Tamandua tetradactyla: one gene and its partners. The main gene of each other region encodes a partner of the protein of the gene in region 3 in a complex. Links are inferred from orthologs where the notes say so. Each region holds a gene or a part of one and is shown on either strand. Other genes may lie near its edges.

Region 1 (7,407 bases), on a different chromosome or scaffold from region 3:
AGAGCAACTTACAGCATGTAACTTACTAGAAGTCATCAGAAATCTAAACAAAGACACTCCAACATATATTTCCTTTCCTCCTTTACTTTTACTATCTATCTCAAGTAGGCTTCAGGGTAGGTGTTACTCCCACTTGGCAAATTTAGGGAACAATTACATCAAGTTTAAGGGACTTAGAGTGTACCTTTAAGACTTCTCCGGAACTACTGAGGGAACACATTCGCCAACTTCAAATAACACAAGAACTATCATATGGAAGGAAGATAAGGTTTTTTTTCTGAACGACCCAAAGGCACAACTTAGAAGTTATAATGTCATTTTAGAAAACTACTTACTTTCTCTAAGAAAAGTTGAAATGGGATACCTTTAAAGAATATCCTGGCTCTGGGGGGAAAGGTGGAGGGGAGCAGATAGTCTGTCAAATAGGGGATGCTGTTGAGACAACTTAACACTAATCTGCCAAACCATCTTCAGTCCTCCTTTTTCCTCAATCCCTAACAAGGAGAAGCAAGTAAGTTTACTGATTTTAAAGGATGGCCATAAAGTTTAGAAATATAAACAACTAGGTATGCCAAATGGTCAATTGGTATTACATTATAATTCACAATATGTTCAATGTGTTATCTTTCATCACAATGCATGGTTCAATGTGTGGTGCATTACTGCAGCATTTCTATTAATCTCTGGACATAAAAAATCTGATTTGCTGACTTAGATGACTTGGGTGTTCTGTACATAATTATACCTATGTCTTTAGCTTACCCCACAAGTAATGGGAGTAAGGTGGGTCCAGATCTGCTCAGAACGCAGCTTCTTCCACATGTACATATTTGTCCAATTTAGCTACAGAAATTATCATTCAATCAGTCCCTCACTACTCTGGTGTAGCCAGGCATCTACTGGAGCAATTATGGTTGACTTTCTTATAGCAGGCTAAGTGGAAGATTAACTGGTTACAGAAAGTAGTAAGATCTATCAGTCACCTATTTTTCCAGATTTTCTCTCTCAAATCCATCCTATCATCACTTTTCTCTTTGATGATTATAGATATCTCTTAACTGGTTTCTGTGTCTACTGCCTTAACCTCCTTAAACCATCATCTAATGGTACCAAAGTGATGTTTCTAAAACTGCGTTTTAGAAATGTGTTTATGTTCCAGGGACCACTGACATGTACCACTCTCTCAACAGAGTACCAATTTCAGAATTAGAGTGTAATGAAGGATACAGTGCTAACCCTGCTTAAGCACATTAAAAACAAACAAACAAAAAAAAAAGGCAAAGGGAGGAAGGGAAGAGCAAAATGATCATCCCTTCTGAGCCCCCTTTTCTCCATAATCTCACTGTGTTCACGGCAGTGTCCTTAATACCCTGCTCTCCTCTCCAATTGCACCCACTGCCTTTCCCCTGACATAGACTCTATTCTAGCTATATTGTACTTATAGATCCATGGTCATAGCATACTGTTTCACATCTCTATCCATTTGTTTATGCCACTCTACCTGTAACACTATTACCATCTCAAATTACTCCTCCTATCATATCGTTCTCAAAGTTCCCACGATTCAATTCACCACTCTTCCTGTTGCTGTATCTTTACAGAGTTCTGTCAAATTTTAACACGTCAGTGGATCTGACTTATATCTCTTTACTGGATCTTAAAGTTCCTTGAAGCTGAGATCTTGTTTTTTGTTTGTTTGTTTTTGTACTCCATGTCCCTGATGTACAACACAGACACAACAAATGCTTGTTGGTGCTTGTAGAAAACTGTATATGACTGATTGAAATGATTGGTTCTTAACATGGGTAGAGTTCAGGATCTCTTGAGAAAATGGCAAAAGTTTTGAATGCTGTCCCCAAGGAAATTGACATAGAAAATCCCTGCAATTTCCAGAGGTTCATGGAATTTCTGAAATCATAAATTCCTAAGGAATCCATTCACCAATAGTTTTGGACTTCTGTTTTTAGGATAAAGTAGCCCAGACTAGTATTAAAGCACATCTTTTTTCATATATGTAAATTCTTAAGAATTTTCAAGTAATTTTGAAAACCTTGATTTAAATGCATGAGGTCCCCACTCCCCTTCACTTCCAAGAGCAAAAGGCAAATCAAGTAGGCTGAACAAACCGCTCTTAAAAAACAAAGAATTAATGGTATTTCTCTCATCCCCACTGGGGCCCAAACAATAACCAAAACCATCCTTTAGGTTTTATAATTAAACATTTGTACTCATGCTTCATGGACAATTTTCTGTGAGTCTACTGAGATGCTGCATTCCAAATTTTCATCTGTCAAACGAGGAAACGTTATCCGGAAGGGGATAATCGAGGAGCTAAATGTTAACAAACCTGGGCCTACCCGGGTTCCATACCTCTGGTCTCTTCTTACCCTACCATGGCTTTGGAAGAAGCTTTTCCACTCCCCCCACCCACACGTCACTTCACCTTTCAGTTTTCTGTCTACGAAAGGGCCTCTGTGCAGATCTCGACCACCGCAGTACTGGCTTTGGGGGGTGAACGGAGACCCCTGAACTTCTTCGGGTCTTTAAGCTCCCAGGGGGCCGCTGCGACTTTGACTATCTGCTACTTCTTCAGAACATCCACTCGGTGTCCCCTCCTCCCCTGCCCGAAAGGAGACGCAGATTACATTATAACGCTGCCCCGGAGAAGAAAAAGAGACTGGTACCTCTCGGAATAGCGCAGAAGCTCCGCATCGAGCTGTTCTCGGATGCCGGTGCGTTTCCTGTTCAGGTAGCGCGGCGACAACGCGATGTGCCTCCGGTGAGGCCCGGCCACCAAGCAGGAGTAGCGGCTACTCACCAGAGCGCAAGCGGCACTGTAGGTCGGCAACTCTAAGCAAGACAGGGTGCCGGCCGATCCCACCAGGGGCGCCTCAGAGGCCACCTTTGGCCGCAGAATCTCTGAGCGAGCCGCAGCCATGCGGCTTGCCAGCTTTCCCACGGCGCGTAAAACTGACCCCTACCCGTCTCTCTCCCGACGCCCGGTTTTGACGTCATCCACTAGTTACCCTGCCTGGAGGCGTTTCCCTTCTTTGAGCGGCATTACGCACACGTATATGACCAGCAGGGGGCAACCGCGAGCCTGGAGGACTGCGGAAAAGCGGAACCTGCGGTGCTTACTGAGCATGCGCAGAGGACAAACTGTTTTCACAGAGCAACCAAGTGTGTTTATCGGTAACATCCTCCCCTTTGAATTTGTATATGGCCTTAGTGGGGATTCCCGCTCTGAATATTTCCAGTAGTAATTTGGTAGGATTTTTTGGACCTCACAAGTAGTCAGTAAATATGGAGTCTATTTTATGCGGAAAACCCAATCCCTAAAAGCTGCTCCGATGCCTCAAATGCAGCAAACCAGAAAGCGAATCAACCTTCTCTCGCCAGTTTGGTTCTCCTCGTTCTGCAATCGCGAATTCAGGGAATCGAACCACCACCGGTCATCCAACCCACCTGTCATCCTTGGCGTCCAAACATCCAATCAGACTCCAGGGGTCTTTGGGCTCAAAGTAGAAACATCTGACTCTTCAAATTCTTCCGTCCATTCCCGCTTCCAAAACCACAAGACAAGTCTCTCTCCTCTCCTGCCTGTGGAAACCTAGCCTAAAGGAGAGAAGGATATTCTCTGGAGCCGCCAAATCTTTGAAACACAAATCATGATCATCTTGAGCCCTGTTTTGTAGCCCTCTATAAGCACCGCGTTTTCCTGACGATGACTCCAAACTCAATATGGCTCACAGATTATAAGTCCTTTTATGATCTTCTCGTTCCTTCTCTCTTAAACATCATCTTCCCTCTCTCATTCTCAATCGTGTAGTCTCAAGCATGCTCCCTCTCGCTCTCTCTTTGGCTCTTCAGACTGTTCCTCTGACTGGGAATATGGTAACTTCTCTCATATGGGTAACTTCTAATCATGCATCGATTTTTAGCTCAGGTTTTATATTCTCTTTCTCTGCAAGGAGTTTGCCACCATCTCTGCCCCTTTTTCCCCAGTAGGGTTTAGTTATTTCCTCATCTATGTATGTCACCACTGTGAGGCATTTGTATTTAATGGCACCTGCCCTTTTGCTTGCCTATTCCGTTGCTAGACTCCAAGCTTTCTAAGATGGGGACTGTGATAAATGTCTTGTTCACCACTGCAATCCCCCTCATGATTTTAAAAAAAGGAAATACAGCTACCCTAAATGAATGAATAGTGAATGAATGAAATAACTGATGATAAAGAACTCACAGCCTATATGAGAAAATGAGAATTAAACATAAACATAACATGGGTTACACCGGGTAAGTTCAAAGAGAAAAGTATGGTAACGAGCGATGCCAGTACTAAATCCCTCCTTCTCTCTGTCTACCCCCCACACCTTGTATCCTAGTTTCCTGGCTACAATCCCAAATACAAAGTGGGTTGACTTAAACAATGGGAATTTATTTGTTCATGGTTTTGAGGCTATGGGAAGTCCAGAATTGAGGTATCAGCAAGGCAGTGCTTTCTCCCTGAAGGCCATGCCGTTCTGGGGCGGGCTGCTGGCAATCCTGTGTCCCTGGCTTTTCCAACACATGGTAATGGCAACATCTTCTTTTCCTTCTGGATTCTGTTGACTTCCAGCTTCTGTTGCTCCCTGGTGACTTTCTTCCTATGGCCTTATGAATAAGGCCTCACTGATAGGATTAAGACACATCCCGACTCAGTTGGCCAATTAATGATGGGTTCACATGCACCACGAATGGCTTAAGAATATGTTTTTTTTTCTGGGGTACATAACCCGAGCCTTCCACACCTAGATACTACAAAAGGTGATGGATTGAATTGTGTTCCCCTAAAATACATGTTCAATTCCTTATCCTCCGTCCTGTAACTGAGTTTAATTGTAAATTAGGATCTTTGAAGATGTTGTTAGTTAAAATGAAGCCAGTCTATATTAAGGTGGGCCCTAATCCAATGTGATGGTATCCTTATAAACAGAGGAAATTTGAAAACACTCGGTAAGACCCAGAGAGAAGAAGGACATGTGACAGAGGTGGAGATTCCATTCTGGAGTGCCAATAAGCCATTGCCCGAACGCTACAGACTTCAGAGGAGCAAAATCCTGCTGACACCTTAAATTTGGACTTCTGGCCTCCAACCCTGTGAGATGATAAGTTCTTGTTTTTGAAGCCAACTCGTTTGTGGCACTTTGTTACAGCAGTTCTAGCAAACTAAGACAATCTCTAAACTCTTGAAATTTGTTTCCTTACTTTAAAATAGAGATATAGTACTTGCCCTATCTAAAAGCAATATTAGAATGTTCAAATAAGGTAAATAAGTATTTTCTTCAGAATTCTTTAATTGACTTCAAACTGACATGAGATGATAATGGGGTGAAACTTCTCCCAAAACCTCATGATAGACATTTAAGTCCATAAGTGGGAAATGTAGCAACTTTTACCTTGATTTTGTCTTAAAACACCCCTGTGAAGACCCCTTCCTGCAGTGGTTCTCAACTTTGACTAAACATTAACATCATCTAGGTGCTTTAAAAAAATCTTGATGCCTACAGGGACTTCAGATCAATTAAACCAAAACTTCTTAGGGTGAGACACAGACATTAATGGTTTTGAAACTCTACAGGTGATTACACTGTGCAGTTAGATGAATCTAGATTGGCTCCAGATGATTTGAATACAAACAGTTTGTCCAAAAGCAATTTAAAAGTAAGCTAGACATCAGGGCAATCTAGCCCAAACAAAACTGTCTCAAGTCAAATATCCCAGTAATGAATTTCCATAGATAATAAATGCAGTGCCCCATGGAGTAGTTTTGTAACCTTTCATGTGTCCACAAGCAATTTCCTTGATTTTTGCAAACTGCTTCCTACTATTTTTTCTTAAATTCTGGCTTAATTGTTAGCCACTATCTATACTCTGCACAGTTAGGAAGAGTGAAAAGTTGAGTCAGTTTGCAGGTAAATGTCACTATTATGGAGTTACTATATCAGATTAGCCTGTCCCAGCTGTCATCCAGGGATGAAGGAAACAGTTGTATCATGAGACCTCTCCCACCTGCCTCCTGCCCCATAGACATACACAGATGTTATTAGATCAGGTACCTCTTAGCTGGTCTGAATCAACTTATCCTTGTGTATTTTGACCTTAGAAAAGACCTTAAAAATTTTGCACTTAGAAAAGAATCTGGATTATAAATACCATGTATTAATACTAGTTATCTCTTGTGAATGGATTTTGCTCTTTAATTTGGGTGAATTTTCATAAATTATAGTAATAAGCAAATACTGTTGTGTGCTAAAATAGCAATCAGAAACTTAATCAGTGAAATGAACCCTTTGGTTGAATTTTGGTTATTATAGGAAATTCTCTATTATTAGATAGTTTAATAGTGCAAAATGAAGAGTATAGGTGCTAGGGTCAACTGTGTGAGTTTGAATCCTGGTCCTGCCACCTCCTAGGTGTGTGACTTTAGGCAAGTTCCTTTCCTCATTTTTTATAAAGTTGAAGTTATTAGAGTGGGCTTTAATGAGGAAATGGAATTAGACAGGAGTTCTGACCTATGGATTAAGGATTACATAAAAGAGTTTCATAAAAAGTACATTCCAAGTAAAAAGAACAGTGTATCAGTTGGCTTTTAGTACATTAAAAATTATCCTCAAGTCTAGTGGCTCTAAGTAACAACCATGAATTTATCTAGAAATTCTATGGGTAGACACTTTGGACTTTGCTCAACTAGAGGATTCTTCTGGCTTCAACAGGGCTCACTCATGCTCCCATGGTCAGCTGCTAGGTTAGCTGGGGGTTGGCTCATCTAGGATAGCCTTAGATGTAATGGCCAACTTTGCTGGATATGGTGTCTCCTCTTCTAGCAGGTTGGATGGAGCTTGCTTTCCAGGCAGTTGTACAGGTTTCCACTAGAGAGAATGGAAGCACATGACACATCTTGGTGCCTAAACTCTGGGACTTACACAGTGTTAATCCAAATCATGGAAAGCTTCTGATCTCAAATCCTTTGTCCTTTGCCCGAGAGGCTGAGGGCCTACTTCTGATGCATACTTGCACATATTGGAAGTCCCTACATACACCTAAGTTGGATAAAGAACAATAATAGTACTGACAGGAAGGGTTTCATCATTCTTATTTGGCTGATTTTATCAAACTGGTAGAGTGTGTGATGATTTCATCAAAACCTCAATAACCACCAATATCACATCATCATGGCTAACCTTTTTACAAATCTACCAGTCACTGTGCTAAGTGCTTTATGCAAATTACCTTATTTCACTAACAGAATCATTTTGAGTTCAATACAATTATTGTATATATTTACAGGTGAGGAAAGTAGATTTTAAATGTTAACTGTACAATGGTGGCAATCCTAACTGTCAAAATCTGTCTGCCCAGTGGCTA
Region 2 (7,444 bases), on a different chromosome or scaffold from region 3:
ATCAGACAGAAACAAATAGAAACATTATCACATGCAGAAATAAAAGAAGCAATTAGCTAATATAGCTCAATTTCTACAAAAATAGTATACTGACTTTGCAGACAGTAAACAGTCCATTTAGTTATCATGTTTCTTCATTATGTTTACATTTGCACTGCTGGTGCAAAACAATGGTAAGTAAAATCGCTAGAGACTTAACACAAATCAAGGCAGAGGCACCAAACGGAATATATTTATAAAGCGTACAATTTGATGAGCTGTCCTTGAAACCATCAACACAATCAAGATAATTAGCATGCCCATCACCCCAACAATTTCATCAAGCAAGAACAAATCTTTTTAACACTATGTGTGAACACATGGGAAGTACACACGAGCCCTTCAGCTGAAGACTGAAGTACAACAATTGTCTCAAGGAAAAGCACTTGTGCAATTGAGCTGCCAGCTAAATTAACCACTTTTCTCAAAGAAAACATTTTTTTTTTACTTGTTTCATATATTTTGCCCAGGTTTGCAGCTGTTTCAAGTAGGAAAATAAATATGGTCCCAGGGACTTCATCTTGCCCAGAAGTCTACACATTTACTTTTATCTGCTCCATATTTGTCTTTCTTAAGCTTACTTGGTGAATGTGATTATTTGCTCCATCTTGCCTCTGTAGACTCGGAGCAAATCCCTTTCAACAGAGTCCTGCATTTTAGCAGGCTGTCCACACCTTTGATTATTTTGGTTCTGTTACTCTTACAGCGTGAAACCAGAACAGGACCAAGAGCTCCCCGTTCACCAAGATCACACAGAACTGCATGATAATTTCTATTTTAAGAGGCAGGTGTGGTGGGGTGAAAAGAACCCCAGAGTAAGGAAGACTCATGCTCAAGTTCTGGCTCAGACACTTCACACTTGGTACCTTTAGCAAGCTCACTCAAATCCTGTGAACCCTAGATGCTTCATCTATATACTCACATAACATATCTCACAGTTCCCTATGAAGAAGAAATGAGATAAGAAAACACTTTGTAATCTGTAAGGTACTGTACAAAAATAAAATGATATGAAGCATATTAAAAGCTCTTAAGCATTAACTAACATAGAAATGTATCATCTTCTGAGTACAATTTCAATTATTTCCCCTTAAATCTTAAATGCCGAATCAGAAAATCATTTAAAAGTGTGGCCCAACTTAATTTTAAAAACTCACCTTAAATCTAATTCACAAATTCCTTAACCCGTGTGTAAGTACTTGAAGACTACTTACATTTCTTGGAATTTTCACATTTCATGAGTGATAAAAATAAATATTCTTTGGGAACTGTGTTATATATCAGGCTGAAACTGCAATTTTGAAGCAAACGAATTCATAAATGATACATCAATTACTTACTTCTGTAACATTGTGGCACGAAGTGCAATAATATTTGCCTTCATCGGTAAGGCCCCAAGAGACAGCAGCACACTGAGTACAGCGTTCTTTGAACTCTTTCTATAGGAAAAGAGGATAGAAAAGGTGTTAACGAACAAATTACACTTAATACATTTTATAAATGAAAATCATCGAAATAAAAATAAATCAGAGGCGAATAACAATTCAGTCTCTGAACCAGTATAAAGCAAATCAAACTCTTTTCTAAAATATATATAGTGTGAGGAAAAAGAAGAAAAGGTGGTAAGGGTAAAACTGCAAACAGAGAAGAGTAAATAAAACTCCTTGAAAACACTGAATGAAAAAAAGGCAAGCTTTAAGTATAGAGAAGACTTAAAACATAGAAATAGCATATCATTTGGAACCTCCTTCAGGTCCCTAAAAACACACACTCACCACAAAGAAACCAGATTTTTATTAGAATTGTTTCAAGTTTCATTGTATTCATTCAGCAATTATAATGAGTATCAACTATTATAGTTATTTGAGTATAACTAAATGTATCAGGCATTTTACTAGACGCTAGGGATTCAATGGTGAGTGAAACAGACGTGATCCCTACGTGATCCCTACTCAGAGTATACATGCTAATGGTGAGTTATAATTATTAATGTATATTAACCATTCATCAATCAATGAACACTTATTGAGCAGCTATTATGAGTAAGGCCTTCTATCATCATACTGCTTCTGTACGTCAAAGACCTAACTCTGACTGACACTAAATCACTGATTCCTAATGTCTTAGGTGTTGCACAACTTATTATTCTTGATAAGAAGACCTAACACTTCGTCGACACCATTAAAGAATGCAGCATTTTATGAGGCATGTCAAAAATGAAAGCAAAATTGTTCTGACAACGTGGTCAAGTCTTCAACGACCCCATGCTGATAACTACCTTAACATTGGGGTGTCCGCAAACCGGTATTTGGAATCACTGCACCAGACCGAGGCGAGGATTCCCAGAGAGATCTGCAGGGGTTACTTGGGTGGATTCTGGTTCCAGCCTCTGCCCCTCCCTCCCCCACCACAGCATCAATGGGAACTTGTGGGTGGTCCGGTTGACAAAGGATGCGCCATGTGGGTGGCCTCCCCACAAAACCCACAACCTCATCTTCCTCCTTAAACACACCCATATCACAAACAAACCACCCTGCCTGCACCCACAACCTCGCTGAGCCTGAAACTCCTGTCTCGTTCCCAAGAACTCGAGTCGCCCGCCAACCCTGGCCCGTTTCCCGGCCTCGCATCCTTCCGGCCCGCCCCTCTACTTTCGGCGGCCTGCCTCACAGCCACTTAGCATCCTCCAACCCCTTCCCCTTAGCCTCACTCCGCTCCAGTCCCAGCTGTGCCCCGGCAGCCAGCGGCACCGCCTCCTTACCGCCTCCTCTAGGTCCATAACGGCGCCGCCCCCGTCGCCGCCACCACCGCCGCCGGGCACTATGAACCGGGTCTGGAGCGCAGCTTTCGGGAGCGGATAGTGCAGCCCTCCTGCCGGAAACAGGAAGCCCTGGCTTTGGGTTCCGGGTGCCTGCGGCCTCGGTGAAACCTGGACAAGCTCTGGGGGCAAAACTGCGTAAATCCGGTAGGCGCTTCTAGTCTTGCTAACTAAAACCAGCCAATAAACAATTGGGCGGGGCCTGCTGCCGAACTAATCCAATCACGCCTCGTTCTAATGGTGGTGCCTTACAGGACCCATTTTTTCGTTGCGAGACTTAGGGAGGCTAGGGAGGGCCAAGTTCCAGAGCTAGAGCTACCCGCGCTCACAATGCACGGCTTCCTTTCTCCACCCCTTACTGGGTTTTTTTTTTTTTTTAATAAGGGAAATGAGGCAATTGGAATGCCAATTTTATTTAGTAAACAAAACAGCATCTTCGCTGACTGACAAAATCTATCCAACTATTAAAAGCAAAACAAAATTATCTTAAGAGATAGTCATACAGATCTTGGTATTACCTACAGGTATACGTTTAAAGAGAGAGGGACAGACAGACACAGAATATTGAAGCGGAATACTGCATCTGAAATTGCCTGATAAAATTCAGAGAGAGCGAGTGAGGGAGTCAGAAGCAGGGATATCATGTCATATTTTCTCTCTTCTTCAGTGAGTCTTTTAACGTCTTCCACAAGCTGTCTTTTCTGTTCAGTTTCTTCTCCATCAGAGGAGGTGGATTCCTTGCAGCTTTCCCTCACATGAAGAAGGCATCAATACAGAATCTGAGGGCAACTGGGGTCTCACCGAAAGTGCAGTTATATTCTCCCACCAGACTCAGGCCTTCTGTGGATACCCAAATTTTCAACATAGTAGTTCTTCAATGTTGAAATTTTCACAAAAGCCTAGGACTCTTTTCTTTTCTTTTTTTAATTAATTAAAAAAAATTAACAACAAACAAAACATTAAGATATCATTCCATTCTACATATACAATCAGTAATTCCCAATACCATCACATAGTTGCACATTCATCATTTCTTAGAACATTTGCATCGATCCAGAAAAAGAAATAAAAAGACAACAGAAAAAGAAATAAAATGATAACAGAGAAAAAAAAGATTATACATACCATACCCCTTACCCCTTGCTCTCATTTACCACTAGCATTTCAAACTAAATTTATTTTAACATTTGTTCCCCCTATTATTTATTTTTATTCCATATGTTCTACTCTTTTGTTGATATGGTAGATAAAAGGAGCATCAGACACAAGGTTTTCACATTCACAGAGTCTCATTGTGAACGCTATATCACTATACAATCATCATCAAGAAACATGGCTACTGAAACACAGCTCTACATTTTCAGGCAGTTCCCTCCAGCCTCTCCACTACATCTTGAACAGCAAGGTGATATCTACTTAATGCGTAAGAATAATCTCCAGGATAACCTCTCGACTCTGTTTGGAATCTCTCAGCCATTGACACTTAGTCTCATTTCACTCTTCCCCCTTTAGTCAAGAAGGTTCTCTCAATCCCTTGATGTTAATTCTCAGCTCATTCTAGGGTTTTTCTCAGTCCCTTGATGCTGAGTCTTAGCTCATTCCAGGATCTCTGTCCCATGTTGCCAGGAAGGTAGGACTCTTTTTTTACCACAATCTCTGCCTCATCACCTAGAACATAGAGACTGTGGGCCTGAAGAGATGGTGCATGGGACAGGTGCATTTTGATGCAGAGCAAGATGGAAGAAAAGGTTGAGAAAAGAGACACTTTCTGGAGGGATCAGGCTTGCAGGGAGGGAGGCATGAGGAGAGGGAGTACTTAACCGGCCTTTTTTTTTTCTTGCTGGCTTTCAATAGCATGGATGAGATATTTGAAAAAGAACACAAGTTGTTGCATCAGACCTGGTTTTCTAATCACATTTTTCATTTTATTTTACTTTGTTTTGTTTTCTGTTTTTACTTACTTCAGTTTGCCTCCTCTGTAAAAGTTAGTTATTTCTTGATTGCCAAGAAATGGAATGTCCCAGATGTCTGTCAACAGACCAGTGGCTAAACAAGCTGTGGTATATACATACGATGGAATATTATGCAGCTGTAAGACAAAATAAAGTCATGAAGCATATAACAATGTGAATGAACCTTGAGGAAATTATGCTAAGTGAAATTAACCAGAAATAAAAGGACAAATACAGTATGGTTTCACTAATTTGAACTAACATTAATGAGTGAACTTTGAGGGTTAAAGTTAAGAACACGGGTTATCAGGAGATAGAAATAGGATAGAGATTGGACAATTGGTGCTGAAGGAATACAAATTGTGCAACAGAACTGATTGTAAAAATTCAGAAATGGATAGCACAGTACTACCTGACTGTAGCACAATAATATAAGTAAAAGGTTTTAAGATATGAGGTATTTGAGAGAAAGGAAAGTAGACAAAAGGATTGTAAATGAGCATGCTTTATTGGGCTGCACTCAGGGGCAGAGCTCACCGAACCCAAGAGGGACGGAGGTGAGTCCCCGCATGAGCTTTGGCGAGTGCAGTTTTTAAGGGCAGGGGTTAGGTGATGACATGAAAGGGGCAGCATATTAAACAAAGGATTATTATGCTAACGGGTTGAGCAGCGGGTGGTTAGATGTCCGTGAATAGATGTTTGCTGCTCAAGGACCTTGATTGTAATGGTTCACCTCCCTTCACCTCCTGTTCTGGAGTGACTTCATGATTCCAGCCTTACAGCCCTCCCTTATTCCCCCGACCTAACAATAAGTACGCTAAATGAAGCTGAATGTGATTATGATTGAGGGAGAAGGGCTGGGGGCACATATGAAACCAGAAGGAAAGGTAGATAAAGACTGAATTGACATAATTTAGGAATGACTAAAGGGGACAATGACAGTGATTAAATGTGCAAATAAAAAACGTTTCTGCATGAGGGAGAACAAATGATGGTCCACATTGCAAGATGTTGAAAATGTGTGCTGGTTTGAAAGGATGTATGCACCCTAGAAAAGCCATGTTTTAATCAAAATCCCATTTCATAAAGGCAGAATAATCCCTATTCAATACTGTAGTTTGAAACTGTAATCAGATCATCTCCCCGGATGATGTGATTTAGTCAAGAGTGGTTGTTAAACTGGATTAGGTGAGGACATGTATCCACCCATCTGGATGGGTCTTGATTGGTTTATTGAAGTCCTATAAAAGAGAAAACATTTTGGAGAATGGGAGATTTGGAGAGAGCAGGGAATGCTGCAGCACCACGAAGCAGAGTCCACCAGCCAGCAGCCTTAGGAGATGAAGAAGAAAAGTGCCTCCCGGGAAGCTTCATGAAACAGGAAGCCAGGAGAAGGAGGTAGCAGATGAAGAACTCTGACTGTGTTCGCCATGTGCCCTTCTACTTGAGAGAGAAACCCTGGACTTCATCAGCCTTCTTGAACCAAGGTGTTTTTCCCTGGATGGATGCCTTTGATTGGACATATGTGTAGACTTGTTTTAATTCGGACTCGGCCTTAGTCCCAATTAATAAGTTGTAAACTAGCAACTTATTAAATTCCGCCTTTCAAAAGCCATTCCATTTCTGGTATATTGCATTCCATCAGCTAGCAAACTAGAACAGATGGTATACAGGAAAAAGTACAATCAATGCAATCTAGGGTCTGTAGTCATCAGTAACACTGTAATATGCTTCCACTGAATATAACAAAGGCATTATGCCAAAACTAAATGCCAAGAAGGAGGGGCATGGGGCAAGGTATGGATTCTCTGTGGAAGAAAAAGAAGTGTCTTCGTATAGGTTCTGGTGGCAACATCATGTCTCTATACTTAAGTTGGATTTATGATATGTGAATAAAACTGTTTAAAAACGAACAGAGAGAAACAAGTGCTAGAAAAAAATGCAGAAAAAAAGATGTACCTATTCATTGTCAGTAGGGAAAATGAGAGTTGCAGCCCCTTGGAGGGCAGTGTGGTGATTCCACAGGAGGCTAGGGGTAGGGTTGTCATATAATCCTGAAATCCATTTGTGGGGACACAAATGGATATTTGCACACCAGTGTTTATGGGAGCAGTGCTAAAAAATCAATGTGGTATTGGTGCAAAGTTAAAGAAAAAGATTAATGAAATTGAATGGAAAGTCCAGAAACTGACCCCTAAATACATATAAGATTAACTGATTTACAACAAAGGTGCCATTACAAATCAGTGGGGAGTGGATGGTTTTTCTATAAATGGTACTGTATCAGTTGAGCATTGATAAGAAAAAAATATTGACCCCTGCTCACACTCTATACAAATATTAATTTGAAATAAATCATAGAATGACGTGATGAATAAAATCATAAAGTTTCTAGAAAACAACATAGAATATCTTCATGATATGGAGCAAGCCAAGGTTCTTAAACAAGCATTAACCATGAAAAATAAGATTGCTAACTTGTACTTCATTAAAATTAAGAGCTCTAGTTCATTAAAAGATATTGTTAAACCAAATCAAAAACTAAGATAAGATATCCACAATACATATATTCAAGAAAGGACTTCTATCCATAACAGATACTAAATACCTACAAATCAATTAAAACAATAAACAA
Region 3 (7,003 bases):
CCTCAAGTACTGGAAAAAGATTCCAGGGACATGGGAGGGAATATGGAAGGAAATCAGGTTACTTTCCCAATCCCACTACTTGGTATATATACTCAAAAGAACTGGAAGCAGGAACTCGACAGATATTTGTACACCGTGTTCATAGCGCCATTATCCACAAGTGCTACAAGATGGAAGCAGTATTATTCACAAGTGCTAAAAGATGGAAGTGTCTATCAACCCAATAATGCATAATGCGTTCAGAGCATGGTCTTTCAGTTTGGGATGATAGGATGTTGTGGTAATTGAGGGTGGTGAGGGTAGCAAGACATATGCATGTAACCAACCCCAATGAACTGGAAATTCGGGAGTGGCTGAGAAGGGAAATCTGTAAAATCACAATTTTTAAAAGAGACAACAACAATTGACATGATCCTGGACTGGCTCTAATAACGGAGGAGAAAATGCCCAAAAGGACAATATTGGGACAAGTGAAAAAGCTGGAATATAGAGTGTACGCTTTACTATCAACATTAAATTTCTTGGACTTGATAACTGAATTTAAATGTGGTTACATAAACGAGTATTGCTGTTCTCAAGAAATATACATGGAAGCATTAATGTTAAAGGAACATGATATATGTAACCTATGCCCAATGTTTAGAAAAACAGATTGAGACAGAATGAGATAAAAAATGTGATAAAATGTTAAAAGATCATAATTCTGGGTAGGGGGTATTTGGGAGTTCTCTATTGGTTTTGTATTATTTTTACAACTTGGCTTAAGTTTGAAATTATTTCAAAATAAAAAGTTAAAAAGCAGACAAATTTCCTGGAATTATGTCTTTAAATTTGCATCGTTCAGAAAATAGAGGAAAATCTGCAAATTCTTCTGCCACAGCAAAAACACTCCTGGATAGCACAGCGACACTTTCATATACCGACTCATCTGAACTGTCACATCCTAAGCCCTATGCAGGATGGAGACAAGACATCACGTCCCATTTTATGTACCGAGAAATGGGAGCAGAGAAAGAAAAACTGACTCCCAAGAAGCCTCAGGGTTTCTCACTCCCAAACCTGCTCCCTCCTACCACAGGACCTTTCAGGGCACCGGGTCCCAGCAATCACCTCTGCTTCCTCATGGTGCTCGATGAGGGCTTTTGGAGGAAGGCCGTGTAAGTTGCAAAGCTTAGATTTCACCATAATGGGAACATAGCCAAGAAACTGTTTAATAACTCCTTTTGAGATTCCATTCACTGCCCAACTGATATCAGCCTAAATAAAAATGAGAAAAAAATTACTTAATAAAAAAGAAAAATTATCTGGATCTTCGAGAAAAAATGAGAATTTCAAAACAGTGAGGAAAAAGACCACAAATTATTTTATGATTTAGATTTAAAAGACGGGTTCTCCTAGATCACTGTACTAAGAAAGCATTCCGGTATAAACTCATAAGATACACCCTTAACCAGAGTTGTGAAGTGTCAGAGCCACGATGTCATGTGTACTCACTGTCAATCTCCCCCGGTAGGTACTCCTTCGGCCTCGGCATTCTGCTGGGTAAACCTTAAGCTCTTTACAGATGCTCCCTTTTGGAACTGTGGGTGGGCTGATGGCAGCATCCACAATAGTAAGAGAGAGGCGCTCATCTTGGAAAGCAAATTCGAAGGGAGGTATAGCCTGAAATACAATTCACACTGTTAAATGACTGCACTTCCAGGGCACTTTTTCTCAAAGACTCTGAGACCCCATGTGTTCTACATGCACTGATGCTTATAGTGCCAAGGTGATAACACATCTAAAAAAACCGGCTACAGCCAATTGCTTTGGAACATAAACTGCAACGGCCCCCACATTACCTGCAGAAAAGAATGCAAGTACCCGAGTCTGACAACCAAAGTCCTTCATGTTATCTCAATTCTTACTGAAAACACAAATTCTACTCAACAGAAACGTCAGGCCGCAGAGCGTTCCCTGAGAATGCGGTTCTGCTCCTTCACTTTCACTGGAGGGAATGAACTCTCCTCTTCCCTTCGACTCCCCGAATCTGGACCTTTCTCATACACCTGGCTGCATTTCCTATATGCACCGACAGCAGCTACTCAACCTGGGCCGAGCAGTTCTCAGGAGAATCCCTGTCTCAGACCCCCACCCGGCCCCCCGTGAAACCGACACTCAAAAGCAAGCTCTGCGTCCCCGTTCCCCTCACAGCCAGGCGCGATCATCAGGCGAGACCTTTCCCCACCACCTTCTCGACCACTTAGGGCTGAGCACAGGCGAGTAAGATGCCTGACACCTTTTCTACTGCAGAGGACGTCCTACTTTCCCGGGAGTGCCACAAGAAACCCTGCCTCTACAGCTCACTCACGTTTTCCTCGACACCTGACTCATTCAGAGCGTGGTTTTCTTCTCTAAAGCGCTAAGCGGGGAAAAAGAAAGAAAGCTGAGAGAGGACCCAGCACTTCACAGCCCACGCAGGAACAGGCTCAACACCTTTCGAGGAAAGCGGTCCCGCGGTATAGAAGTCCGCACGGCGTGAACGGTCGGGAAGCACAGCGACAGCGCGTGGCCTCCTCCCGGCCTCAGGACCCAGAATCCGCACAGTTCGCAGTCACCCACAAACCCAGAAAACCACAAGCCCAACTCCCCGTTCGCAACCGGACAGGTCTCCAGGGGCCAAAGGCCGCCCCTCGCACCCGCTCCTCCGCCAGTCCGCTCCCGGCGCATGCACGGCGCCTCGAAACACGACGGAGCCCGAGCCCCGGCGGCCGTGCTGGGCGCGCCCGGCCTCTCCCCGCCCGCCTCGAGCAGCGGGGCGCCGCCCTCACCTGCACCGCGCGGCCCAGCCCCTCGTGCACCGCGTAGTTGAAGGACTCCACGTGCGCCCGCGTCAGCTCCTGCAAGGCGGGCTCCTGCTGTTCGCGCGGGGCCCCGTAGGCGGGGTCGGTCAGGTGCCTCAGGCTGGGCCCGGGGACTCCGCGCCCCGAGCCGCCGGGACCCATCGCACGCCTGCGGCCGAACCTCGGGGCGGCATGCGCGCCGGAAGGGCCTCGGGCCGCGCGCCGGAAGTGCGTCGCGCCCGCTCCGCCCGCCCTGCTGTCCCTCGCGTTTCCCTGGCCGACTAGGAAGCCGAGCCCCGAAAGGAAGGGCCCGGGTCAAGCTGCGCGGCGCCGAGGCGAAGGTGCGCGGCGCCCCCTGCCCGCCCCCGCGGAGGGGCCGCCGTCTGCGGCGTGCTCGGCGGGCGGCGCACCGACTGCGCGCTTCCGGCCCTGCCCGCGGCCCCCAGCCCAGCCCAGGCCGAGGACCGAGCGCCGCCCGGCTCGCCGCCGCCGCCCCCGCGCTCGCCTGGCGCGCTGCGTCCCCGCGCGGCGGGTCATCGGAACCTCCCCGGCCCCTCGCTGCGCTTGGCTCCGTGGGCGGGTCCTCCGCCGGGTGCAGCTCCCTTCGCTTCTTACAAGGCAGCGTATTCCGTCCCCAGAGTTCTCCCGCCTCCCGCCTCTGGACGCTACAGCGCCCCAGGGCTCAGGGCTGGCCAGGTCTCTTCTCCAGCCTCTCCCTGCTTGGACTGTCCGTCCGTCATCCGTCCATCATCCGTCCATCATCCACCCATCCATCTTCCATCCATCCTTCTACCATCCATCTATCATCATCTGTCCATCATCCATCCATCTATCAGTCATCCATCCGTCCATGATCCACCCATCCCTCATCCACCCATCAATCATCCGTCCATCATCCATCCATCTATCAATCATCCATCCGTCCATCCATCATCCCTCCCTCACCCACCCATCCATCATCCATCCATCCTTCTACCATCCATCTATCATCATCTGTCCATCATCCATCCATCTATCAATCATCCATCCGTCCATGATCCACCCATCCCTCATCCACCCATCAATCATCCGTCCATCATCCATCCATCTATCAATCATCCATCCGTCCATGATCCACCCATCAATCATCCGTCCATCATCCATCCATCTATCAATCATCCATCCGTCCATCCATCATCCCTCCCTCACCCACCCATCCATCATCCATCCATCCTTCTACCATCCATCCATCTATCCACCACCCCATCCGTCTATACCCAGCTCTCCACCTAACACCGTCCCTGGGGATCAATGGCCACCTCACACTTTAGATGTCTGAAGCAGTGCTGGCTCTCTCCCTCCCTCTCTCTCTCCCTCTCTCTCTCTCCCTCTCTCCCTCTCTCTCTCTCTCCCTCCCTCTCTCTCTCCCTCTCCCTCTCTCTCTCTCCCTCCCTCTCTCTCTCTCTCTCTCCCTCTCTCCCTCCCTCCCTCCCTCTCTCTCTCTCTCTCTCCCTCCCTCCCTCCCTCCCTCCCCTACTTTTGGAATAGCATCACATCTTGTGGGCTGTATCTCCCAAACATGGCCTGACCTTGGCTGATTCTGACACCTCTACTGCTGTCATCTCAGTCCAGGAGTTTTCCAGTGTTGGGGTTACTGACGTTTTGGGGGTGGGGGTGGTGCATGGCCCGGGAATCAAACCCGGGTCTCCCTCGTGGAAGGCGCGCATTCTACCACTGAACCACCCAGGCATCCGCCACTATCGACATTTTGAGCTCGATAATTCTTTGTTGTGGGACCATAGTCTATTTGTCAAAACTAAGAAAGAGACATTGATGCATTGCTTTTAACCAAATTCCATATTTTATTTGAATTTCTAATTTTTTTCCCCATTAATGTCCTCTTTCTGTCCCAGGACCCAATCCAAGGTGTTACATTGCATTTGGTTGTCCTGTTGCCCCTGTCCCCTCTGATCTGTGATAGCGTTTTAGTTTTTCCTTGATTTTCACGACCTTGGCAGTGCTGTGGCGACTGTCCAGGTGTCTTGGGCATTGTATCCCAGTTTGGGTTTCTTTGTTGTCTTCCCTGGGTGACCCCAGGGCGTGGCTGGGAGGATGCTGGAGGGGAGGTCTTGGGCACACAGGGGTGCATGGAAGCCCCGTCCCTGGTGAGGCTGACCTTCAGCACTGGGTCGAGGTCGTGTCTGCCTGGTCTCTTTGGCTTTGAGGTAGTGTGCTTCCCTCTCCGTCCTCTGTTCTTCAGAGGCCGGTCACTAGGCCCAGCCCCTTCTTCAGGGCTGAGGTGGGAATTGACTTCTGTGTCCTGTAGACGGTTCATATCTACACACGTGACTACGTGTCTCCTCTCCCCTTATTTATTATTCAGTCATCTATATCAGTATCATTTCATGTTTGTTCTTTGGGTTATATTTTCATACTACGTCTTTTTTTGGGGGGCTCAGATTGTTCCCGCTTTGGCCTTTGGGAACTGTCTCAGGTGACTCCTGTGACCTTTGAGATGTGCCCATCCTTTTGTTTCTTGAGAACTTACTTTCTGGTCCCAAGGCCATGTTTGTGACCCAAGGAGGGGACACAGAATGAAATTCCCTACTAGTTAGAATGTATACTTGGCATCTTTTTCCATCAGAGACTGCTGGGGTAAAAGCTTTGTTTCTCACTTTTAGCTATTACTGAGTGACTAGGATTCATATCAGATAATCACGTACTGCTCCTAGTCACAAAAGTCCTATGAAGGAAGAATCGATGAATGAAGCTGATCTGGATGGGACTAAGGTAAATCAGAATACAGAGTAAAGGATGATATTATTCATATTTTGAAAGTTCAGCTTCTCTGTGAGACCAAAGAGAGGGATTTTTTTTGGGTGCAAAACATATTTTGGGTAGTGCATTTCCTAATTTAACTTGTGGGGTCAGTTTAGTTGAACACTAAAAGTACATGGAATCTTGAATAGGGTATGAGATTTTGTTGGTTGTCGAGGTTAGTGTGATGCCCCGATATATCCCAGAGTGATCTGGGCAGTGAATAAAGAAGCACTTGCAAAATTCCCTTTGGGCACTGGGAAGAGGAGGAAATATTCAACTTCCCCAATCGGAGAATTTCACATATTCCTGAAAGCAGTGGAGACAACCAATTCAATAGGCCAAGCCCTTGATCTTGGGGTTTGCTCCTGTGGAACTATCCCTGCAAAAGATAGGCTAAGCCTACTTAAAATTGGTCCTAAGAGTCACCCCCAGAGAACCTCTTTTGTTGCTGCGATGTGGCCTCTCTCTAAGCCGACACGGCACGTGAACTCACAGCCCTCCCCCACCCCCCACCCCCCACGTGGGACACGACTCCCAGGGGTGTACATCTCCCTGGCAACGTGAGACCAAAACCCCGGGATGAGCTGAGGCCCAGCATCAGGAATTGAGAAAGCCTTCTTGACCACAAGGGGGAAGAGAGAAATGAGACAAAGTTTCAGTGGCTGAGAGATTTCAAAATGAGTCGAGAGGTTATCCTGGAGGTTATTCTTACGCATTATATAGATATCCCTTTTTAGTTTATGTATTGGAGAGGCTGGAGGGAAGCACCTGAAACTGTAGAGCTGTGTTCCAGTAGATTTGGTTCTTGAAGACAACTGTATAAAGATTTAGTTTTACAATGTGACTGTGTGATTGTGAAAACCTTGCAGCTGATGCTCCCTTTATCCAGGGTACGGATGGAGAATGAACAAATAATGGGGGGGGGCAAAGGTTAAAATAAATTGGGTAGATTGAAGTACTAGTGGTCAGTGAGAGGGAGAGGCAATGAGTATGTATGGATGGATTTTTTTATTTGTTTTTCTGGAGCAGGTGTTCTGAAAAGGATCATGGTGATGAATACACAATTATGTGATGATGTGTGGGATGTTTCTATGTTCAGATTTATGAATAAAAATAAATATTTTTAAATCCTGTCAAGTACCTGAACACATTCACACTGGATGTGTATATTCGGTGATTATTTTGGTGGCTTTGATCATTTTGGAACAATTCTATAGTTCTAGTCAACTGATAAAATACTTATTTCCATTATTAATTGATATTTTCATTTTCATAAGACATAGGTTTCTAAGAACCAATTTAAAATACATCTGAGAATGAATTTTAAATGCACAATTTAAAGTTAACAGAACGTGTCTACAACTGTGAAGCGGAATGAAACA
Region 4 (6,887 bases), on a different chromosome or scaffold from region 3:
CTGACAAAGGGCGAAGTGAGCAGCCTATATTTTAAACTTGGAACCTTTCCAGAACAGTTTCCTTCTGAGGTGCTTGTGGAAAAGGACCCAAAACAGGAAGCTCAGCATGGCTCAAATTTTCAGGACAGGGAGGGGAGAAAGGGTCTCACAAGACCACCAAACTTACAGACGTGTTGCTGCTTCAGTAGAAGTTTCATCTCCCTCAATCCTATACACTTTACCATACATTACATATTCAAATTGGTCAGCCCTGTGAAACAACAGTGACAAAGTTATCGTTTATAGTAATTAACAATAAGAAGAAGCCCTTTTAAAATGTTAACAAGTAACTAAATGCCAGAATTATAACAGGCACTTTACAGATACGCTATTATTTAATCTTCACAGCATCTCTGTAGGCTAGATATAACTGTCTCTATTTTAATGATGAGGGAGATACTGAGGCCAAAAGAGGTTAAGGATATTGAGCAAATAAGCAATAGAGCTGAGATTTGAACTCATGGAGCTCCAAAGCCTTTCCACCATACCAAGCTCTCTCCCAAAATCCAAACCTCATATCACCTATGTCACATAGTGGTCATTCTCTCAGCCATCAAAAAACTACAACTCACAAGCATGTAATCACTGCTTGATAAATACCTGTCTATCTCAATTCTTAAATGCAGCAATTTCCTTGAGGTTACTCAGATTCTGCTGATAATCATTTATTCCATGAATTAAATAAGGGTCTTTCTACGCCACTTTATCTACTCGTCCTCAGAGGGTATTTCAATTAGCCTCTTCTCAACTCCCTCACCTGGAAGGCCGGTCATCTGTGGGGTTGTATTCACCATCATCTAGTGTACCATCTTCATACAAGGTACTGGCTATGACCAATCGGAATTTGTCACCTGGAAATAACGCCAATATACGAGCATGAAAACAAGTTGTAACATCAAAAAGTCCCTTGCTATTATCTGTGTACAACACTTACCCAAATCTACAGGGTAAATCTGAATGTTTACATCTAAGATGAGGTCCATCTTGAAAGATTCGCTCTCACAATGCAGTCGAGACACTGGGGGGAGTGAAAAAAGAGGGCAGAAGTAACTGCCATGCCCAGAACAGACCCACTTTGGGGGTTATATGCGACAGAGCACAATCGAACCCAGCTGCTCTGCATTCACTGGCGTCTCCTCCACTCTCATAGAAGTACAGGCTCCACCAGAACCAGATATGCAAGAAGGAAAAGGGGATGAAAACTATGGCTAGGAAATGGAGTCCCCCGAAGAGAATCAAAGGTCCTCTGGCAGGGAATAATATCCAGGTTCTAGCCCTGTATAGGTAAGAAACTACCTGACTGGGCAACGTATTCATTCATCCACAGGTTTAGTCTTTCTGTGTTAGGCTATGTGCTGAGAGGATTGCCAGGATGTATAAGGACTGGTGTGCACCTGAAAGAACATTTTGGTCTCCAGGCAAAGGAAGAGACACCAAGGAGAAACAATTATTGATCAGTGACAGAACATTTATACCAAGTAGTTAACTAACTCAGAGAGGACTTCACAAACAGCTAAGGATTCTGAAGGCAATACAATATAAACTCAGAATTCAGATTATTTGCTGTGCACCCTAGGGTGGGTTATTTAACCTCTCCGGCAAAATACAGAAGTCACCACTTACCTCATGGGGGCTGTGGAATGAGTAAGATAAAGTGTGTGTGAGGTGCACAATGGAAAGCGTAGCAGAGCAGGGAGCGATTATTATTATTATTATTTTACTTTTTTATTTTTTTAAACATAACAACATGCAAAAACGAACATTCTTACCATACGATCATTCCATTCTTGATATATAATCAATAACTCACAATATCATCACATAGTTGTATATTCATCACCATGATCATTCCTTAGAACATTTGCATCAATTCAGAAAAAGAAAAAAATAAACTCATACATATCATACCCCTAACCGCCCCTCCCACTGACCGCCAGTATTTCCATCTACCCAATATATTTTAGCCTTTGTTTCCCCTATTTTTTTCTATACCCCTTATCACGCCCTTTCATTGATCACTAGCATTTCAATCTACTAAATTAATTTTAACATTTGTTCCCCCTATTATTTATTTTTAATCCCTATGTTTTACTCATCTGTCCATACCGTAGATAGGAGCATCAGACACAAGGTTTTCACAATCACACAGTCACACTGCAAAAGCTATATCATTATACAATCATCTTCAAGAAACATGGCTACTTGAACACAGAGGGAGCGATTATAATTACGAAAGATAACCAATCTGCACCGTGACAAAACGCCACCCAGGCACTGGGCACAGCATGTGTGAAGCCAGGGAGAACTCGCAATCTAAGTTTCCTCAACAATAAAAACAATAATGTTGTTGTTTCCAAACAACAATTTCCTAAGGGAGGTCCCCTACATCACGGCCTGCCGGTAAGGGCAGGCCACGCAAGTCAGGACGAGACGGGGGACCCGGGGGCGTGTCGCAGAGGAGGGCTATAGCCCCTTCCCCTCCAAGCGCGCCGGCAATCCTTACCTCGGTCAAACTTCTTGCCCTCCGGGTCAATGTCTTTCACATCGAAAATATCTTCAAACAGGATGCCCGCCATCGTGAAAAGGCCACGAGAGCAGCGGGGGTGCCGGATGCGCGACCACGACTGGGGGTCCGCACACCCCCTCGTGTGGATTTTAGAAGAGTGGAAGGAAAAGGATAGCGCCTAAACAGCGGGAGCCAGGGCGTCGCGCATGCGCAAAGCTGGCCATAGTGCCTCTACTTCCGTCGCGTTCCTCTCGGGGCTTCATAACTTCCGCTCCCAGTAATAGCATCCGAGAGATTCCAGGACTGGGGGGCGGGGCTCCGGTTGGCCCCGCCCCTGACCGAGGCAGAGGTGGTGCGAGTTCTCTAGCTGGCCTGGTCTCCACTGCGCCCTCTTCAGACTCTCGGTTGCGAAGGCGGGAAAGCGTGGAGGCATACCTCTGACTGGGACCTTGATCCTTGGCCCAGAGAAGCCCGGCCCTAGCCCTACCCTGCCGGTCCGCGTGTCTGCCGAGGGCACAGTCCGCCCCGAGGGCGGGCGGAGCAGAACCCCGCCTCGGGGGCACTGGCTAGGCAAGGCGCCGTGCCCAGGCCCTCCAGCTGGGATCGAGGTCCCCCGGGGCGGCCCGGACCGGCTTGCCCTGCTAGACGTCACCTGAGCCGGGTCCGTCCGGTTTGGGAATTTGCCGTGATGTCACCACAGGGAAAAGGAAAACCTGCACTGTCCCCTCCCCACCACTGCTCTCTTGTCCTGGGCCCTGCTCGCTTCCCCGGCCGCCCTCCCCGGAGAATTGCCCCTCAAGCCGGATGATGCCCATTCCCCCACCACTGCCCTCTCCCTCTGGACACTGATCTCCTGTATACCCCTGCATCTCGGCACAATCCTCTTCTTGGCTACCAGCTCTTTCCTCGCACTGCCCCTTCCTCCTGGGGCTGGCTCCCCTCCCCCTGCGCACCCTCTCTGCCTCTTTCATCCTGGTGCTGCTCCGTCCCGTATGCTACCCCTTTCCTAACTGCCCTCGCCCTCTCACTAACTTCGCTCTGGTATTGCCTATCCACCGTTGGGCTTCCCCAACTCTGTACCCTATCTTTCCCCGGACCCTGACAGGGGACACCAAGCCCCCGCAGGCCGTTCCCCTAGGGTGGCGAGACGTGAGCAGCTCCTCGAGCTTCTCTTAGGGCCCAGCGGGGGAGAAGCGACCTCTGCCCCCCACGCCCGCCAACCAGGAGTGGCCGCTCCGACACCCAGCTCTCCCTTCCCGCGGGCCTTACCCCTCTCCAATCCCTCCCTACCTCGTCAGCCACTCCACCCCCACCCCCAGGCCAGGTTCCTCCAAGTGCACCTCCGAGAGGCGGGGGTCCGGAGGAAGGGGAGGAGGACGGAGCCCCAGGGTCTCGGTACCAAGAAGCACCTCCCCTCCCCACCGCTCTTTTGTCCAAAATGCCCCCTTAGAGAGGTCTATCCAGGCCCAGCCGAGCCTTTAGGGCCACCCCCCACCCCCACCCCCACCCCCACCCCTGCCGGAGCAGAGAGGACGGCGCTCCTTAGGTTCCTTTAGACAGCTCCAACAGCCCCCGACTCCAGGCCAGTCGGCCTCACGGTCGCCGACTCCTCCACGTGCCAGCGGACCGGCCCCCGCCCCAGCCCCGGGTGCTCGCACGGCCCCGCGCCCTCGGCCGCCCCTCCCGAGCCAAGGAAGGCGGCCCCAAAGCAGACCCCGACTGCGCTGGGCCGGGCTCTAGCGGCGCACAGGACCCCGCCCCCGGCCCGCCCGCCCGGGAGGGGACGCGAGCGGGAGGCTCCGCCAGGGCGCCCGGTTGGGGCGCGCCGCACTCTCCACTCGGCCCGGGCTGCGGGGACAGGACGGGGGCCGGCGCAGGCTCTGCGTGCTTGGAGCTGAGTCCCGACCCGGGTCGGAGCTGCAGACGGAGGCGAAAGGGCCCCGCGCAGCGATGGCGGCGGCGGCTGCCGCGGCGGCGGAGGAAGGGATGGAGCCGCGGGCGCTGCAGTACGAGCAGACCCTGGTAAGTGAAGCCGAGCCGAGCCCTTAGGGTGCACTCCGGCACCGCGGCTCCAATTCACCCTTTGGAGGCGCCAGGAGTGGGCCTACGCTGAACCCACCCCAGCCTTCTGAGATGGGGAAACTGAGGCTAAGGGATCTGAAAGGCTGGAGGGTCAGAGGGGTCGAAAGCTACATGCAGGCTAGGGGCCTGCAGAGGACACCAGGTGCTTGTCCCAGGTATCTCTTCCTTTACCCGTCCCCACCACACACACACACACACATGCACACGTTTTCCTTTCTCCTCCCCCACACCACTTTGGTCCAATTCTTGCACCCCCACTACCCGTCCCACCACCACACACACACCAAGGACTTTCTCCTCACGCTCCACCATCGTGCATGATGCATGGCACTGTGCTAGACGTAGAAACAAGGTGTAGAAAGATAATCAGACCTAAACCCAGCCCCTACCCCTGGGGGCTGACAACCAGCCTTGCCTGGGCCCTTCAGTCAATTCGCTGAGAAAAGACATCCTGCTACCAGCCCTGGGGAACAGGAGCTTGGGGAGGACCGGTCAACAGGAATGGGTGTGGGAACTGGGACCTTTGTCCATGCTGACTCTGAATATCCAGTCCCCCACCCATTCCAGGGGTGTCCCTTGACCTCATTAAAAGCAGGGGTCTTGGGGCTCTGAGCTCACTCAAGGCCAGCACTGTTACTTAATTTTGAGAAGCCAAATGCCCCTCCTTTGGTCACTGGGGAAGGACCTTCAAGCTCCAGGGAAGAGAACGGATCCTGTGGCTCTTTTTCATTACCTTGAGCTAGAATTTGCCCAGAAAGGTGGCAAGGAGGGAACTTCTCTAGGAGGAAGGGCCCTGGGCTGTAACTGAGGCTGGGAAGTACCTAGTTACAAGAGAGATGGCAGGGGTGGAGTGGAGTGCGGTTAGCAGGGCAAGCATTAGGATAGGATAGAAGGTTTCCGTCAGTCTTACAGGCCGAGGATGGGACATTGGTCCCAAAATGGTATTTGTCTGTCTGTCGCACCAGCCACATCTCTATCTCCTTTGCCTCTGTCCCTATCTCTGGAATGAGCTCCCAGGGTCAAGCTGTCTCTCTGCACTCTCTGCTCCAGCCTCTCCCCTTTCCCTATCTGATCCCTTTGTCTTTCTCTCACCCACTCACCTCCCCCCTGCTACACTGTGTCTGCTTCTTTATACTCTGCTTTCCTTCTCTTTCATGCTCCCTACTTCTTCCCCTCTCCTGCCTCCTTCTTCTTGTCCCTTCCCCTTGCTTCTCTTTTCTGTTTTTCCCTCCTCCTCTTTCTACTTCTCTTCCCTCTCTCCTATCTCTCACCCTCTCTGTGTTTCTATCTTTCCCTCCCCCTCCCCACCCCCAGCCCCAACAGGAGCCCTTTGTGTCCCGAAGCTCTGCGGGTGGCAGCCGGAATCTCCTCCTCCCCACCCCCTAACACACGCCCAGCTTGGCAGGTCTGGCCATGGCGACTCTCCCCCATCCCATGGCGGGAGCATCCAGTCACAGGCCAACCGCTGGCAACCTCTGCTGTCCCCCAGCCCACCACTGGGCTCAGGGCAGCAGCATGGGACTAAGGCCACTGAGCACCCTCCACTCATCCTAGCTAGCTGGGCTGGCAAGCAGTTGGGGAGGGGCGGGGTGGGGAATGAGGACAAGGGGATTATGGTGGGTGGGAGGGGTTGCAGCTGAGTGGATCACAGGCCAGAGGCCCAGCAAGAACGTGATAAGGATTGGGGCCCCCGCCTGTGCCCGGGCCCAACTCTGAGCTGCCCCCAGCTGCCCTTGACCATCCCTTATTCTCTGACCTTCTTTCCTCCCACTTTCAGATTGTATTTTAGGCCTTTTCCTCCTCTGGGGCCTTCCTTCTCACTCCTCCTCAGTCCCCCCACCCCTACCCAGGCCTGTGAGAAGAGGACTGATTACTCAGCCACCCCCAGAGCTGAGTCCCTATACCTTGGCTGTCCCCATCACTCAGGCCAGTACAGCGCCCACAGTCTGCAATGTGTATTGTTCCCAAACCCGGAGTCAGAGGGGAACAGTGTGTTCCGAGGGGGGTCTGCAATGTGGGACTGGGAGAAAGGGAGCCGAGGCATCAGGGGCCCTCCCTGCATTCCCTCTTGGCCCACTTCTGCCAACACCCCATCTTCCCTATTGCTCCAGATGTATGGCCGGTATACTCAGGACCTTGGGGCCTTTGCCAAAGAGGAAGCTGCTCGGATCCGCCTGGGAGGGCCTGAGCCCTGGAGGAATCTCCCATCCCCTCGGACTCCCCCAGAGCTCCTGGAATATGGACAGAGTCGTTGTGCCCG

Evidence for each region.
Region 1: POLR1B (region 3) and POLR1F share a complex: the UniProt entries of both Homo sapiens proteins name them as parts of the RNA polymerase I (Pol I) complex. The link is inferred for Tamandua tetradactyla from reciprocal best matches to the Homo sapiens genes POLR1B and POLR1F.
Region 2: POLR1B (region 3) and TAF1B share a complex: the UniProt entries of both Homo sapiens proteins name them as parts of the pol I pre-initiation complex. The link is inferred for Tamandua tetradactyla from reciprocal best matches to the Homo sapiens genes POLR1B and TAF1B.
Region 4: POLR1B (region 3) and POLR2H share a complex: the UniProt entries of both Homo sapiens proteins name them as parts of the pol I pre-initiation complex. The link is inferred for Tamandua tetradactyla from reciprocal best matches to the Homo sapiens genes POLR1B and POLR2H.

What each region holds. Positions count from the first base shown.
Region 1 is NC_135327.1:104,391,885-104,399,291, reverse strand, and holds the start of POLR1F (DNA-directed RNA polymerase I subunit RPA43), read right to left. Parts: upstream 3,003-7,407; 5' UTR 2,939-3,002; coding exon 2,685-2,938; intron 1-2,684. UniProt on the Homo sapiens protein: Component of RNA polymerase I (Pol I), a DNA-dependent RNA polymerase which synthesizes ribosomal RNA precursors using the four ribonucleoside triphosphates as substrates.
Region 2 is NC_135329.1:56,006,960-56,014,403, reverse strand, and holds the start of TAF1B (TATA box-binding protein-associated factor RNA polymerase I subunit B), read right to left. Parts: upstream 3,022-7,444; 5' UTR 2,819-3,021; coding exon 2,801-2,818; exon of another isoform or gene 2,629-2,800; intron 1,479-2,628; coding exon 1,380-1,478; intron 1-1,379. UniProt on the Homo sapiens protein: Component of RNA polymerase I core factor complex that acts as a GTF2B/TFIIB-like factor and plays a key role in multiple steps during transcription initiation such as pre-initiation complex (PIC) assembly and postpolymerase recruitment events in polymerase I (Pol I) transcription.
Region 3 is NC_135343.1:496,699-503,701, forward strand, and holds the start of POLR1B (DNA-directed RNA polymerase I subunit RPA2), read right to left. Parts: upstream 3,012-7,003; 5' UTR 2,985-3,011; coding exon 2,811-2,984; intron 1,663-2,810; coding exon 1,495-1,662; intron 1,258-1,494; coding exon 1,111-1,257; intron 1-1,110. UniProt on the Homo sapiens protein: Catalytic core component of RNA polymerase I (Pol I), a DNA-dependent RNA polymerase which synthesizes ribosomal RNA precursors using the four ribonucleoside triphosphates as substrates.
Region 4 is NC_135336.1:2,711,251-2,718,137, reverse strand, and holds the start of POLR2H (DNA-directed RNA polymerases I, II, and III subunit RPABC3), read right to left. Parts: upstream 3,018-6,887; 5' UTR 2,616-3,017; coding exon 2,543-2,615; intron 1,058-2,542; coding exon 974-1,057; intron 891-973; coding exon 797-890; intron 251-796; coding exon 167-250; intron 1-166. Other genes in the region: CLCN2 (chloride channel protein 2), read left to right, coding at 4,496-4,567, 6,739-6,887. UniProt on the Homo sapiens protein: DNA-dependent RNA polymerase catalyzes the transcription of DNA into RNA using the four ribonucleoside triphosphates as substrates.